Linked DNA regions of Callithrix jacchus. The protein of the gene in region 1 purifies or fractionates together with the protein of each later gene. This does not show direct contact. Links are inferred from orthologs where the notes say so. Each region holds a gene or a part of one and is shown in the gene's direction. Other genes may lie near its edges.

The links.
Region 2: the proteins of EHMT1 (region 1) and CBX1 purify together in Homo sapiens (affinity purification with mass spectrometry; 3 studies listed by BioGRID and IntAct, with this or other methods). This does not show direct contact. The link is inferred for Callithrix jacchus from reciprocal best matches to the Homo sapiens genes EHMT1 and CBX1.
Region 3: the proteins of EHMT1 (region 1) and CTBP1 purify together in Homo sapiens (affinity purification with mass spectrometry; 3 studies listed by BioGRID and IntAct, counting the BioPlex papers as one, with this or other methods). This does not show direct contact. The link is inferred for Callithrix jacchus from reciprocal best matches to the Homo sapiens genes EHMT1 and CTBP1.

The regions. Positions count from the first base shown.
Region 1 is NC_133502.1:186,169,902-186,173,543, forward strand, and holds part of EHMT1 (histone-lysine N-methyltransferase EHMT1), read left to right. Parts: intron 1-1,222; coding exon 1,223-1,390; intron 1,391-1,583; coding exon 1,584-1,728; intron 1,729-2,689; coding exon 2,690-2,767; intron 2,768-3,642. UniProt on the Homo sapiens protein: Histone methyltransferase that specifically mono- and dimethylates 'Lys-9' of histone H3 (H3K9me1 and H3K9me2, respectively) in euchromatin.
Region 2 is NC_133506.1:118,186,835-118,191,073, forward strand, and holds the start of CBX1 (chromobox protein homolog 1), read left to right. Parts: upstream 1-1,329; 5' UTR 1,330-1,540; intron 1,541-4,239. UniProt on the Homo sapiens protein: Component of heterochromatin. Recognizes and binds histone H3 tails methylated at 'Lys-9', leading to epigenetic repression. Interaction with lamin B receptor (LBR) can contribute to the association of the heterochromatin with the inner nuclear membrane.
Region 3 is NC_133504.1:191,935,084-191,938,725, forward strand, and holds part of CTBP1 (C-terminal-binding protein 1), read left to right. Parts: intron 1-1,349; coding exon 1,350-1,504; intron 1,505-3,642. UniProt on the Homo sapiens protein: Corepressor targeting diverse transcription regulators such as GLIS2 or BCL6. Has dehydrogenase activity. Involved in controlling the equilibrium between tubular and stacked structures in the Golgi complex.

The DNA.
Region 1 (3,642 bases):
CCATGTTTGAGATCAGCCGTTGTTTATTTCTGGGTTAGGGAGGATTGTCATGAAAAATTCCCACGTTCTTAGACCAGATCTTGAGTCTCAAACCTGACACTCCTGATATGGGTGAGTAGCATGGGAACAGCCCTGCTCCCGGCAGGGACCTGCCAGCTCAGAGGCCCTGAGAGGCTCAGGGTGCCTTCTGGGAGTAGCACTGCCCCCAGCCAGGGCTGGAGATGCTTGGGGCTCTGGCGCTTACTGCTCAGGGTCCTTTTAAAACTTGAGACCTTCAGCTGGGTGGCAGTGGCTCATGCCTGTAATCCCAGCACTTTGGGAGGCCAAGGTGGGCAGATCACTTGAGGTAAGGAGTTTGAGACCAGCCTGGCCAACATGGTGAAACCCCGTCTCTACTAAAAATACGAACATTAGCCAGGTGTGGTGGCTCATGCCTGTAATCCCAGCTACTCCAGAAGCTGATACAGGAGAATTGCTTGAACCCGGGAGGCGGAGATTGCAGTGAATGGATATTGCGATAGTACACTCCAGCCTGGTTGACAGAGTGAGAGTCTATCTCAAAAAAAAAAACAAAAAACCAAAAAACCTTGAGACCTCGATCCCGCAAATCACCCGCACTTGGGTTGTAGTCATTGGCCTGGGATGGAGTCTTTGTTTGGCTGCTGGGGAAGAACCCGGAGCTGTGGGTGCTCCACGCGCCAGCCTCCAGTGACTGGCCCCGACAAGTGGGGCTGTGCCCTCTCACATTTGGACATCATGATGGCTCAGCCAGGTTGGTCATTTGATCATTCCTGCCCACGCACAGTGACTGCGGTCTTGATGCAGTGGGCAGGAATGGAACTGAGAACTGCTGACGCTGTGCGTGGCCCGTGAGTGGCCTTTCTCCCTTGATGCTTCCCTTCTTGTCCTTGAGGGTAAATTTGAATGAAAAATCCAAGAAAAATCAAATGCCACCTTGGTTTTTACACACTCTTCTGCTGAAAAAAAACAGCCTGCTGACTTTGACAGTGAACATGGGAGAGGAGTAAGGGAGTGATGTTCCTAAGGGAGGTCAAGCCCATCTTTTTAGAATCGTCAGTCAGCAGACTTGGTAGTTTGTTTCCCAATGAACAGTGTGCTCCCTCTGTTTTTAGTGATGATAGTCATTTCATAAATCTCATCTTTGTGATCTTTAAATAAAATCAGCTTTAAATGTTTTGTGGGCTTACATTTTCCCTTTTAGCCTCTTTCTTTCTCGGGATTCAGATGTCACCTTAAAAAACAAGGAAGGGGAGACGCCCCTGCAGTGTGCGAGCCTCAACTCCCAGGTGTGGAGCGCTCTGCAGATGAGCAAGGCTCTGCAGGACTCGGCCCCCGACAGGCCCGTCCCTGTGGAGAGGACCGTGAGCAGGTGAGCCCCGGCCGGGATGGTGCTGTGGCCAATCAGCGGTCAGCAGGGCTTTGGGAGCTGCAGGGATAGCTTTTCCCCAGGCTGGAGTCTAGATCGCCAGGGCCAGGTGTTTGCCAGCCGCCCCACTGCACATGGCACCATGCCCTGGGCAGAGCGAGTCAGCCTCCAGGTGACACCAGCCCTTCCATGGCAGGGACATTGCTCGAGGCTACGAGCGCATCCCCATCCCCTGCGTCAACGCCGTGGATGGCGAGCCATGCCCCAGCAACTATAAGTACGTCTCTCAGAACTGCGTGACATCCCCCATGAACATCGACAGAAACATCACCCATCTGCAGGTGAGTGACGTGGACCCAGGGCTACTCAGGCCAGGACACGGGACAAGCAGAGACTTCCTGAGCCTGGGGTTCTGGGTTCTTCTCATCACTCAGAGCAGGAGGGCTCCTGGGAGGCTTCCCAGGAAGACCTCACTCTCTCTGTAGTTGCCTCCCATGAGAGAGCTGGAAAGCAGATGAAGGTTCTGTTGGGCACATTGCTCTTCCAAGGGTTCTCATCAACCCCAAAGCAGTGGCAAGCATCTGTGATGTTTTTGTAACCTCACACTCAGGGGCCCTGGTGCAGCCTCATGCCCTGTGCGAAGGGAGCCCTTGCGAGGCTGCAGGACCACTTGCGTCCCTGCACCTCCTGTTCGCTTGAGGGATGGGCCCAGCACATGCTAGCTTCCCCAGCCTCTGAGCACATGGAGCCTCGTGCCCTTACTGCCTGTGCCTTCTTGGGCACTTCCTTTGTGGCTCTGCTTGTAGGCAGCTCCCCCCCTCTTCCCAGGCCGGGCACTGCCCAGGGCCCTCTGCTCAGGGTGTGTAGGACTCTGCGTTCTTGCCTTTCCCGTCGAGCATCTGGCCACAGATGCAGCCGACACCCAGCCCTTCATCCACCCTGTGTCACCCGCTGCTATGTCGCTGCCCTGCCTGCCCCCATTCCTCTGTTGGGATCCTCAGCCAGAGCCCCCTCCCACGGGCATGTGTCATGTTTCTTAGCAACTCGAACATTCTCTCTGCCCTTCTCTTTAAGAGGCCACACACTCACGTGGTATCTTTGAGAAGCACTTAGCAGATTCAGGAGTAGCTTTGAGAATTGTAAAATGTAGTTGTGACCGGGAGGGAAGCAGAAGGTGGGTGCCTGCCCACATGTGTGACCGGGAGGGAAGCGGAAGGCGGGTCCTGCCCACAGCTGTGACCGGGAGGGAAGCGGAAGACGGGTGCCTGCCCATCTGACAACACCGGGTGCCTCTCTTCTCAGTACTGCGTATGCATCGATGACTGCTCCTCCAGCAACTGCATGTGCGGCCAGCTCAGCATGCGCTGCTGGTATGACAAGGTGAGGGCGGCCTCGTGTGCGTGGGCTCAGGCGGTAAGTGCCGCTGGTCCGGCTCTGCAAAAACAGTGCAGGTGTCTGTGACTCCAGTGCTGTCATGGCAGCATTGGGAAGGCGTCGGAGGTGAGCTGGGTGTGGCAGACAGGGGAGGCACAGTAGGCGACGGCACCCAAGTCAGGTCGTGAGCTGAGGACATGGCCACAGAGTCCCTTTTTGGCTGCCTGGATGGTAGCGGCGGTGGGCAGCCTGGCCTGCCCGGGTGGCGGTGCTGCTCATGTTGTGTGTGTCTGGTGAGCTCTGCCTTGTGCTTGCTGAATGTGAGGGGTGTGAACAGGGAGGGTGCGGCTGCACTGGGTGCAGCGAGCATGGGTGTGGGCGGGGAGGTTGGGGAGACACAGGCTTGGAAGTCTCTGGTGGGTGCTGGTGCTCAGAGGAGCCTGGGATGGGGGCCACTGAAGAGATGGGAGTGGAGGGTGGCCCTGGGTAGTAGGGATGTGGTTCAGGGAAGGACGTCTAAGCAGAGGCAGAGGGTTCCTGATGTCCCGAGTTCAGAGGTCAAGGTGGGAGCAGAAGCCAGCACAGCCTGGGTGAAGAGACGCGAGCGGGGAGAGGCAGCAGGTGTCCCCTCCAGAAGTGGAAGTTAGAGGAGGGGTGGCCAGGAGGGTGGAGTGTTTACCCATCTGAATGGGGGTCCCGATGGGAGAAGGATTAGTGCCACTGAGGGCTATGGGGGTGGCAGGCTCAGAAAGCTGCCAGGCTCGTGTCTGAGTGGTGTCTTTTGGGGTGGAGTCCTGCTGAGGGGGTGAAGGAATGTTTTTCCCTACATGGGAATTGAAGTTTGACCAGAAACTGTCGTGTGTATGTCAGTTTGAGCTACA
Region 2 (4,239 bases), on another chromosome or scaffold:
AATCAGGGAAGGCCTCAAAGGGGAATTAATCTTTTTTCTTTTTTTTTTTTTGAGACAAAGTGTCACTCTGCCACCCAGGCTGGAGGGCAATGGCATGATCTCGGTTCACTGCAACCTCCACCTCCCGGGTTCAAGCAATTCTCTGCCTCAGCCAACCAAGTAGCTGGGATTACAGGCACCCACCACCATGCCCAGCTAATTTTTGTATTTTTAGTAGAGACAGGATTTCACCATCTTGGTCAGGCTGAACTCCTGGTCTGGTGATCCACCAACGTTGTCCTCCCAAAGTGCTGGGATTACAGGCGTGAGCCACTGCACCCAGCCAGGGGAATTAATCTTAACACTGAGTAGGTTTTTTTTTTTAGATGGAGTTTTGTTTGTTGCCCAGGCTGGAGTGCAATGGTGCGATCTCAGCTCACTGCCACCTCCGCCTCCTGGGTTCAAGCAATTCTCCTGCCTCAGCCTCCCAAGTAGCTGGGATTACAGGTGGCACCACCATGCCCAGCTAATTTTTGTACTTTTAGTGGAGACGGGGTTTCACCATGTTGGCGAGGCTGGTCTTGAACGCCTGACCTCAGGTGATCCACACACCTCGGCCTCCCAAAATGTTGGGATTATAGGCTTGAGCCCCCGCACTCCGCCTTAAGAGGAGTTTTGCAGAGATTTGAGGAGGCGGAGATTGAGGACTACAGAAACGGTTGGAAATTTGAGGAGGCGGAGATATAATAAAGTTCTGGTTAAGAACATAAGATTAAAAAATTCAAGGATGTGAATTACCTAACTGTCCAGAAGTGGTTGATTTTTTGGGCCAAGCATCAAAGGGCTCATTTATAAAAATCACATGTCCTGGTCGGGTGCAGTGGCTCATGCCTGTAATCCCAGCACTTTGGAAGGCCGAGGCGGGCGGCTCACGAGGTCAAGAGATCGAGACCATCCTGGCCAACATGGTGAAACCCCGTCTCCACTAAAAAATACAAAAATTAGCTAGGTGTGGTGGCGCGCGCCTGTAGTCCCAGCTACTCGGGAAGCTGAGGCAGGAGAATTGCTTGAACCTGGGAGGCGGAGGTTGCAGTGAGCCAAGATCGCGCCGCTGCACTCCAGCCTGGGGACAGAGCGAGACTCCGTCTCAAAAAAAAAAAAATTATGTTCTAATTTTCTAGGTTACAACGCTCAACGCTGCAGTCGCTCCGCCGTTACAGTTTAAAACCTCGAAGTCCCTACCACCCTCGCCTACTGTGCGTGCGCAGCGCGCGGCACTTCGGGCCCTGTAGTCTTGGACTGATCCCGCGGACCAGGGTGCCATGCGGCGGGTCGCCGCGCCTGCGCGGTGCGGGCGGCGGGCAGAGCAGAGTGCGAGGCTCTTTTGTTCGGTTGAGGGGAGGGCCCTTGGCCTGGGCCTGCGGTACGCCGCTCCAGTGAGGTGCTCCATTGCGGCCACCGGGCTTGCTGCCTTCCTGGGCGCCACTCCCCCGGCCGACCCGACACGACGCGCCAGCAGCGCAGCACCGATTCCTCTCCGGCTGTTAGGCGCTGCTCTGAGGTGAGGAGCCCGCTGGAGGCGGGAGAGCTGGGGGAGGGGGCACGGTGGCGGCGGCGGCGGGAGCCCTGCGTGGGGGCCCGCGCTTTCGAGGCAGAGGTTGGGGGCGGGGAGCGGGGAGCGCGCCCGGGTCCAGCGTCCTGTTTTTCCACTTCCCGCGCTGAGCTCTCCGCCTGGCGCTGAGGCGTCGTTGCCAGCTGCGAGAAGGATGGGGAGGGCGGGGCGCGAATCCTGAGCCAGAGACTGAAGCTCTTCAGGGTGGGCCGAGCAGTTGGGGACCGCTTTTCCGGGCCCGCGTAGTCCGGGACAATGCTGCTTGGGTTGGGTGGGCGTCTGGGGATAGGGCTGGAGAGAAAACACCTTACAAGATTGGGAAGGGGACAGGCTTGAGGCTTGGATAGGTGTGGGGAGGAGCTGACGACCGCGAGACCCGAGGTTTGTAACTGTAATCGGAGGACGCCGGGTCCCGCCGGGGCTGCCAGAGAAACCTGGCTTTGCAGGACTACGGAAGAGTAACTTGGAGTTAATTGGAAAGAGGGCCCTGGGCCGCACAAAGTGTGCCGATTGGTGGAGGAGATGGAATAAATTGGGAAGGGGGGCACGGAGGGGGAGGGGCAAGCGTTTGCTGGGCCTGGCTCTGGAGGGGGAGGAGCTGTTAGGATATGTAGGGCGGAGATCCGGAGAATATTTCTGTAAGGTGTGTAAGGGAAAAGGGGAAAGCAGGCCGCCCTTGCTTCCTGATGGGTCCTTTCAGTGGGGAGGCTGTAAAATAATACGTGAAGAAAGGATTGAATACGCTTTCTTCACTTTTCCAGGTTTCCTACTGCCTTTGCTCCATGATTCCTTTGGGGAGTTAAGTCCAAGTGCAGCTCTTGCTTTGATTCAAAGTTAGTTCCATAAGTTTTTGTCTGGGATCGTTACTGGTCTCACAAAGGTGATAAAATTGTAAAATGCGTAGGTGAGTTAACAGTTAAGGAATGGAGTGAGGTAGTGATGACATCGTGTAAGGTAGGAGAAATTGGGAGACAGGAAGAGCAAGTATGTGAGATTGTGAGATAATACTTGTTTAGTGGGCCCTTCTGTTTTTTAGCCAGGTTTTCCTTTTTGGAAACTTTGAATACAGAGTGAGCAGTATTTTACCTCTTTTCCAACTATTTAGATGAGGGTTTTTCGTGAATTGATGTTACATTTAGACTTGTGTTGGTTTAAGTCAGTTGAGGTGGAATTTACAAAAAGATAGCTATAATCTGTTATACTAGAACCTCTAGCCTAGGGTAAAGTAGCCTTCTCAGTTGTGTTAAGAATCACACCAGCAGTTTGGAAAAATTGTGAAAGGTCCAAGGCTTTGGAATAGATTCAGGAATACAATGGGGAAATTAATGCCGGTGTTCCTCCTTAGGTGCCTTACAGACTTTTATAGGAAAGTGGTGAGATTGAAAATCCCTTGTATTGAAACCAGTTGCACCTTAATGAAGCTTCAGGGCAGCGGAGGACCTGAAGTCATTTACGATTTTCCCTGTGGTAATATTTTTCTTCAATGGCTGCTGTTATTCTAAATTATTTTTCACTAAAAATGTAAATAATGGGGCCGGGGATGGTGGCTCACGCCTGTCATCCCAGTACTTTGAGAGGCTGAGGTGGGCAGATCACCTGATGTCAGGAGTTTGAGACCACCCTGGCCAACATGGTGAAACCCCGTGTCGACTAACAATACCAAAATTAGCCAGGTGTAGTGTGCACACACCTGTAGTCTCAGTTCTTCGGGTGGCGGAGGCAGGAAAATAGCTCGAACCTGAGGCAGAGGTTACAGTGAGATGAGATGGCACCACTGCACTCCAGCCTGGCAACAGAGGGAGACTGTCTCAAAAAAAAAAAAAAGAAATAGTTTTGAATGTAAATAGAAGCCTAGTGCTTATAGCTTCCATATTAAAGGAGACCAAGTAAGGTACCCTAGTCTTCTGCATTTTATAAACCATATCTCCAAAGAAAAGAAGCAATCACTCTTGTGCCCATTTTAAGGACTAGGAAAATGTTTCTTTTTGTTGTTCACACCATTTGAAAAGAATTCCTTAAATTTTGGCATACTCTAGTGGTTTATCTAGCAAAACCTCCCTTTTTAAAAAATATCCTGGCTGGGCACGGTGGCTCAAGCCTGTAATCCCAGCACTTTGGGAGGCTGAGGCGGGTGGATCACGAGGTCAAGAGATCGAGATCATCCTGGTCAACATGGTGAAACCCCGTCTCTACTAAAAATACAAAAAATTAGCTGGGCATGGTGACGCGTCCCTGTAATCCCAGCTACTCAGGAGGCTGAGGCAGGAGAATTGCCTGAACCCAGGAGGCAGAGGTTGCGGTGAGCCGAGATCGCGCCATTGCACTCCAGTCTGGGTAACAAGAGCGAAACTCCGTCTCAAAACAAACAAACAAAAAAATATCCTATCTGCGGTGGTATAAGAGATTTTCCATTAGATTTGGTAGATTTTCACTTCATAGGTTCTTTCCATAAAGAGTTTTTGGAGTAGAAGGCTAATTGCTAGTTTATGGACTCCCATAAAATGGGCCATACCTCTTGTTCATCAGTGCCTGCCACATAGTAGGCTGTTCAGATTGTTGATGCATGGGGGGGCGTTGAGATCCATTCTCAGAACTCTGTGTTAGCCAAATTAATGTGCATTTACATATTTAGTAGTTTGCTTGTCTTA
Region 3 (3,642 bases), on another chromosome or scaffold:
CTGGGGAGCTGCAGGAGGGGGGTCATGGGCAGCTCCTGTCCAGATGGAATGAGGGAACAGGCAAACCAGGATGTGGTTTTGATCGTGCACACCCCGTGTTTGGGGTCTGGGCAGGTCCTGGCACCTTTCCTGTCTTGAAGGCAAGTGGGTGGAATGGCCAGTGGCTCCTCTGAGGTCACTGGGGCGTGAGGACTTAGAAGGAGGAGCCTGGGCCCAGCCGTACCGGGAGCCCTCGGCTTTGGGGTGGTCAGTGGAGACCTGTGCCCTGTCCCCTGCAGGCACCTGCTGCAGGCCCATTGCACCCTTGGGCTGTCCACCAGGGTGTCTCTTTTCTCTGCCGTGGGCTCCAAGAGCCGTGTTTGCAGTGCATTCTGGGCCCTGGCGGCTTGGTGGCCTCTGCTTACCTGCTGGTAGATGGGGTGGGAGACGGCTGAGCGTGCATGTGGCTGCAGCCACTGAGGACTTTACTGGGTCACTCCGTTTCTTGGTTCTGTCCTGTGTCTCCCCTCCTGCTGGCCAAATGGTCCTGGGGGCTCCTTGGTCTCCTGGGGCCAGTCTGGGGGGTGGACCGGCCAGACCCTGGCTCCAGCTCTGCCTTTTCCCAGCACCCGGTGCTCCCTGCCTGGCACAGGGTGGCCGGGTGGTGCCTGGAAGCTGCTGTGCTTCTGTGACACCTCAGAGCCCCTCTTTCTCCATGTGGCCCCGAACGAAGCTTAGCTGTGTCATACGTGAAAGGAATAATGGGTGTTAGTGGTTTTTAATCAGCTCATTCTGGGAAGGTAGGGGCACAGTGGACTTTAACAGTGGACTTTCCTCTATAGCTCTGTTTCTTGTCCCTTCAAATTTACAAATGGAAGTGATGCCAGGCAGAGGGTGGGGCGTTCTGTGTGAAATATTGGTGACCCATCGGGGATTCCAGCAGCCACACGGTAGCCCAGGCGGAAAAGGGCAGCCATGTTCCTAAAGCCCTGTGCTGCGATCTGTGCCCTCCAGTGTCACGGGTCCCTCCTGTCCCTCCGCCTCATGGAGCTGCCCTGGGGTCTCGGGATCTCGGAGGGTATGGGGGAGTCTTGGGGAATCTCAGACAGGTCTGGGAGGGTCTCAGGGGGTCTGGGAGCCCCTGTGCCTGAGGGCAATGGTGGTGGGTGTCTGTAGTCTGTGTCCACTCGTGTCAGCGAGCTGAGGCACACAAATCTGTCTTTCCTATGGATTTTTAATTCACTTTTTACAAATATCACAACATGTAGAATGGAAAGCCCTCATCGGCCGGTGCACAGTGGGCAGTGTGGAGCAGGTTGTGGCTACGGGCTGCGGTGGTGCAAGGCTGAGCACTTGCTTCTGTCTTGCAGGCGTCCGACCTCCAATCATGAACGGGCCCCTGCACCCGCGGCCCCTGGTGGCACTGCTGGATGGCCGGGACTGCACGGTGGAGATGCCTATCCTGAAGGACGTGGCCACCGTGGCCTTCTGCGACGCACAGTCCACGCAGGAGATCCATGAGAAGGTACCACCACGTACTGTCCTGGGGCTGCCAGAGCCACATGCCGGAGGGGAGTTGGGAGGGATGGGAGCATGGGCCGCAGCAGGTCTGGATGCCACTGGGACAGGTGCAGCCTCTGTCCCTTTCACCCTGCCCCATTAGGAGATGGACATGGGGTTTCGCCTGTAGCTTCTGGATTCATTTCCAGTTTTCTCCCAGAGAGCAGGTCCTCAGGACGCTGCTTTTGTTGCAGGGCCAGAGTGAATTGCTTCCCCTGGCTCCGGGCGCACAGCGGTCTTTGCATGCGCATGGGTGGTCTTGGCATTGCCCACGACTTGGCTGTGGTCCAGCAGTGGGCAGCCTTCGGGCAGCTTTCCTGAGTCGTGTTTGCTCAGGAGATCCACAGGCTCCTCCGTGATGAGAAACAGGTCGGTCTGGCTCTGCTTGTAGCCAGAGGTTAGTGATTCAGAGCAGCTTTTCCCTGAAGACAGACGAAGAAGCTGGGTCCTCAGGAGCTAACAGGACAGAGCTACAGCTGCCCAGGCTACAATCCAGACAAGCCCAGAATCTGTAGGAACGGGTGGGCCCTGCCCGTTCTGGCCTGGGGTGTTGGCTGTTCTCGAAGAAGTGGCTGAGGGGTTGCATTTGGCATTGGCAGCAGCCATGGTCTGCAGGGTGTGGGGCCTGCTGGGACAGCCATGGCCTGTAAGGTGACACCTGGAGTGAGGGTGCCCTGGACTCTGACATGCCGTACAGTGGGCATCCAGCCTGCCAACATCGGGGGAGACTTGAGCCTGGATTTCAGGGGATCCCACACTGCCTGGCCCCAGGTGCCTGGCAGGAAGAAATGGGACAGCCCCTTCAGAGGAACGTAGCATCAGCCTGGGCCTCGGTTCATTTCTACAGATCATCGTCTGGCCCAGGGTCCGTCAAATGCAGTAGAGATAACCAGGCAGTCAGGAGATGGCAGATGAGGCATAAAGCCCAAAAGCCAGAAAAGGCAGTGCGGGTCCACCAGAGCTCCCCGAGCTGACCACGGCATGGTGACCCCAGCACAGCCCTCAGGAGGAGGCCGGGCCAGACACCGACGAGGAGCTGCTGCCCCTAAAACGGGGCATGGTGCCTCAGAGGAGGTGAGGTGTGGATCTGAGACACGCCGAAGCCGAATGGGAGAACAGAGGGGCAGGTTTAGCAGCCAGGAGGGTGAGATGAGGAGCCACCCTCACAGACACTTTGGAACAATAGAGGGGAGGGGCTGGAAGGGATGACAGCAGAAGCATTTCCAAAGGAAACATGGTGCTAAAGATGGGCGCGCGTCTGCTGCGGCCGGCGGTCGCTCTGCAAAACGCTTCCTGGTTTCTCATGCAGTTAGATGTGCGCCTGTAATGCAGCCCAGTGGCCACACTCCTTAGTCGCAGAGGCTTGGAACGCACGTCCGCGGGCAGAACCGCGCGTCATGCTCCCTGGCAACTGTAATCATCACGGCCCAAACCAGGACATGCCCCAAACCAGGACACGCCCCGGCTGCCCTTTGGCAGGTCAGTGGCCAGGCAAACGCTGGCCACCTCCCTTGGCATCCTCAGCAACAGGCGGGGGGATCTCGGTAGCGTGATGGCGAGTGAAGAGCTGGTTTCAAGGGCTGCATGCTGCCTGATCTCTTCATGTTCAGGCAGAGGCATCAGCGTGACGGAAACCATTGCTGGGGTGCGGGCGGGGGAGCTGCCAGTGGGCCAGTGTGCCGGAATCTGCACATGAGCACATCACACGGGCGTGTCCACATGCATGCCCGGCCACGGTGTACACCTGGAGTCATGTGGCACCCACTTGGTTTTGACAGTGCCCTGGCTAGTACGGTTTTCTCACTGGGAGGCTGGGTGTGTGTTAAAGACACACACGTATGGAATGGAAAAGAGGCACATGGTCAACTTGGAAAGTTGTAAGTCACACTAAAGCAGGGTCTGCCAACAGATTGGAAAACTAAGGCAAAACAGAGGTTTTCTGAAATTGCAGTAATCCCAGGCTGCCTAGACAGGTTCGTATAAAATGCAAATCAGTGGGCCGCCCTGGTTGGGGTGGGGCTGGCGTGGTCCCTGGCAGGACACAGACTCCCTGCTCTGCACCCAGATGGTACAGCCCAGGGCAGAGAAAGACATGGTAAATAC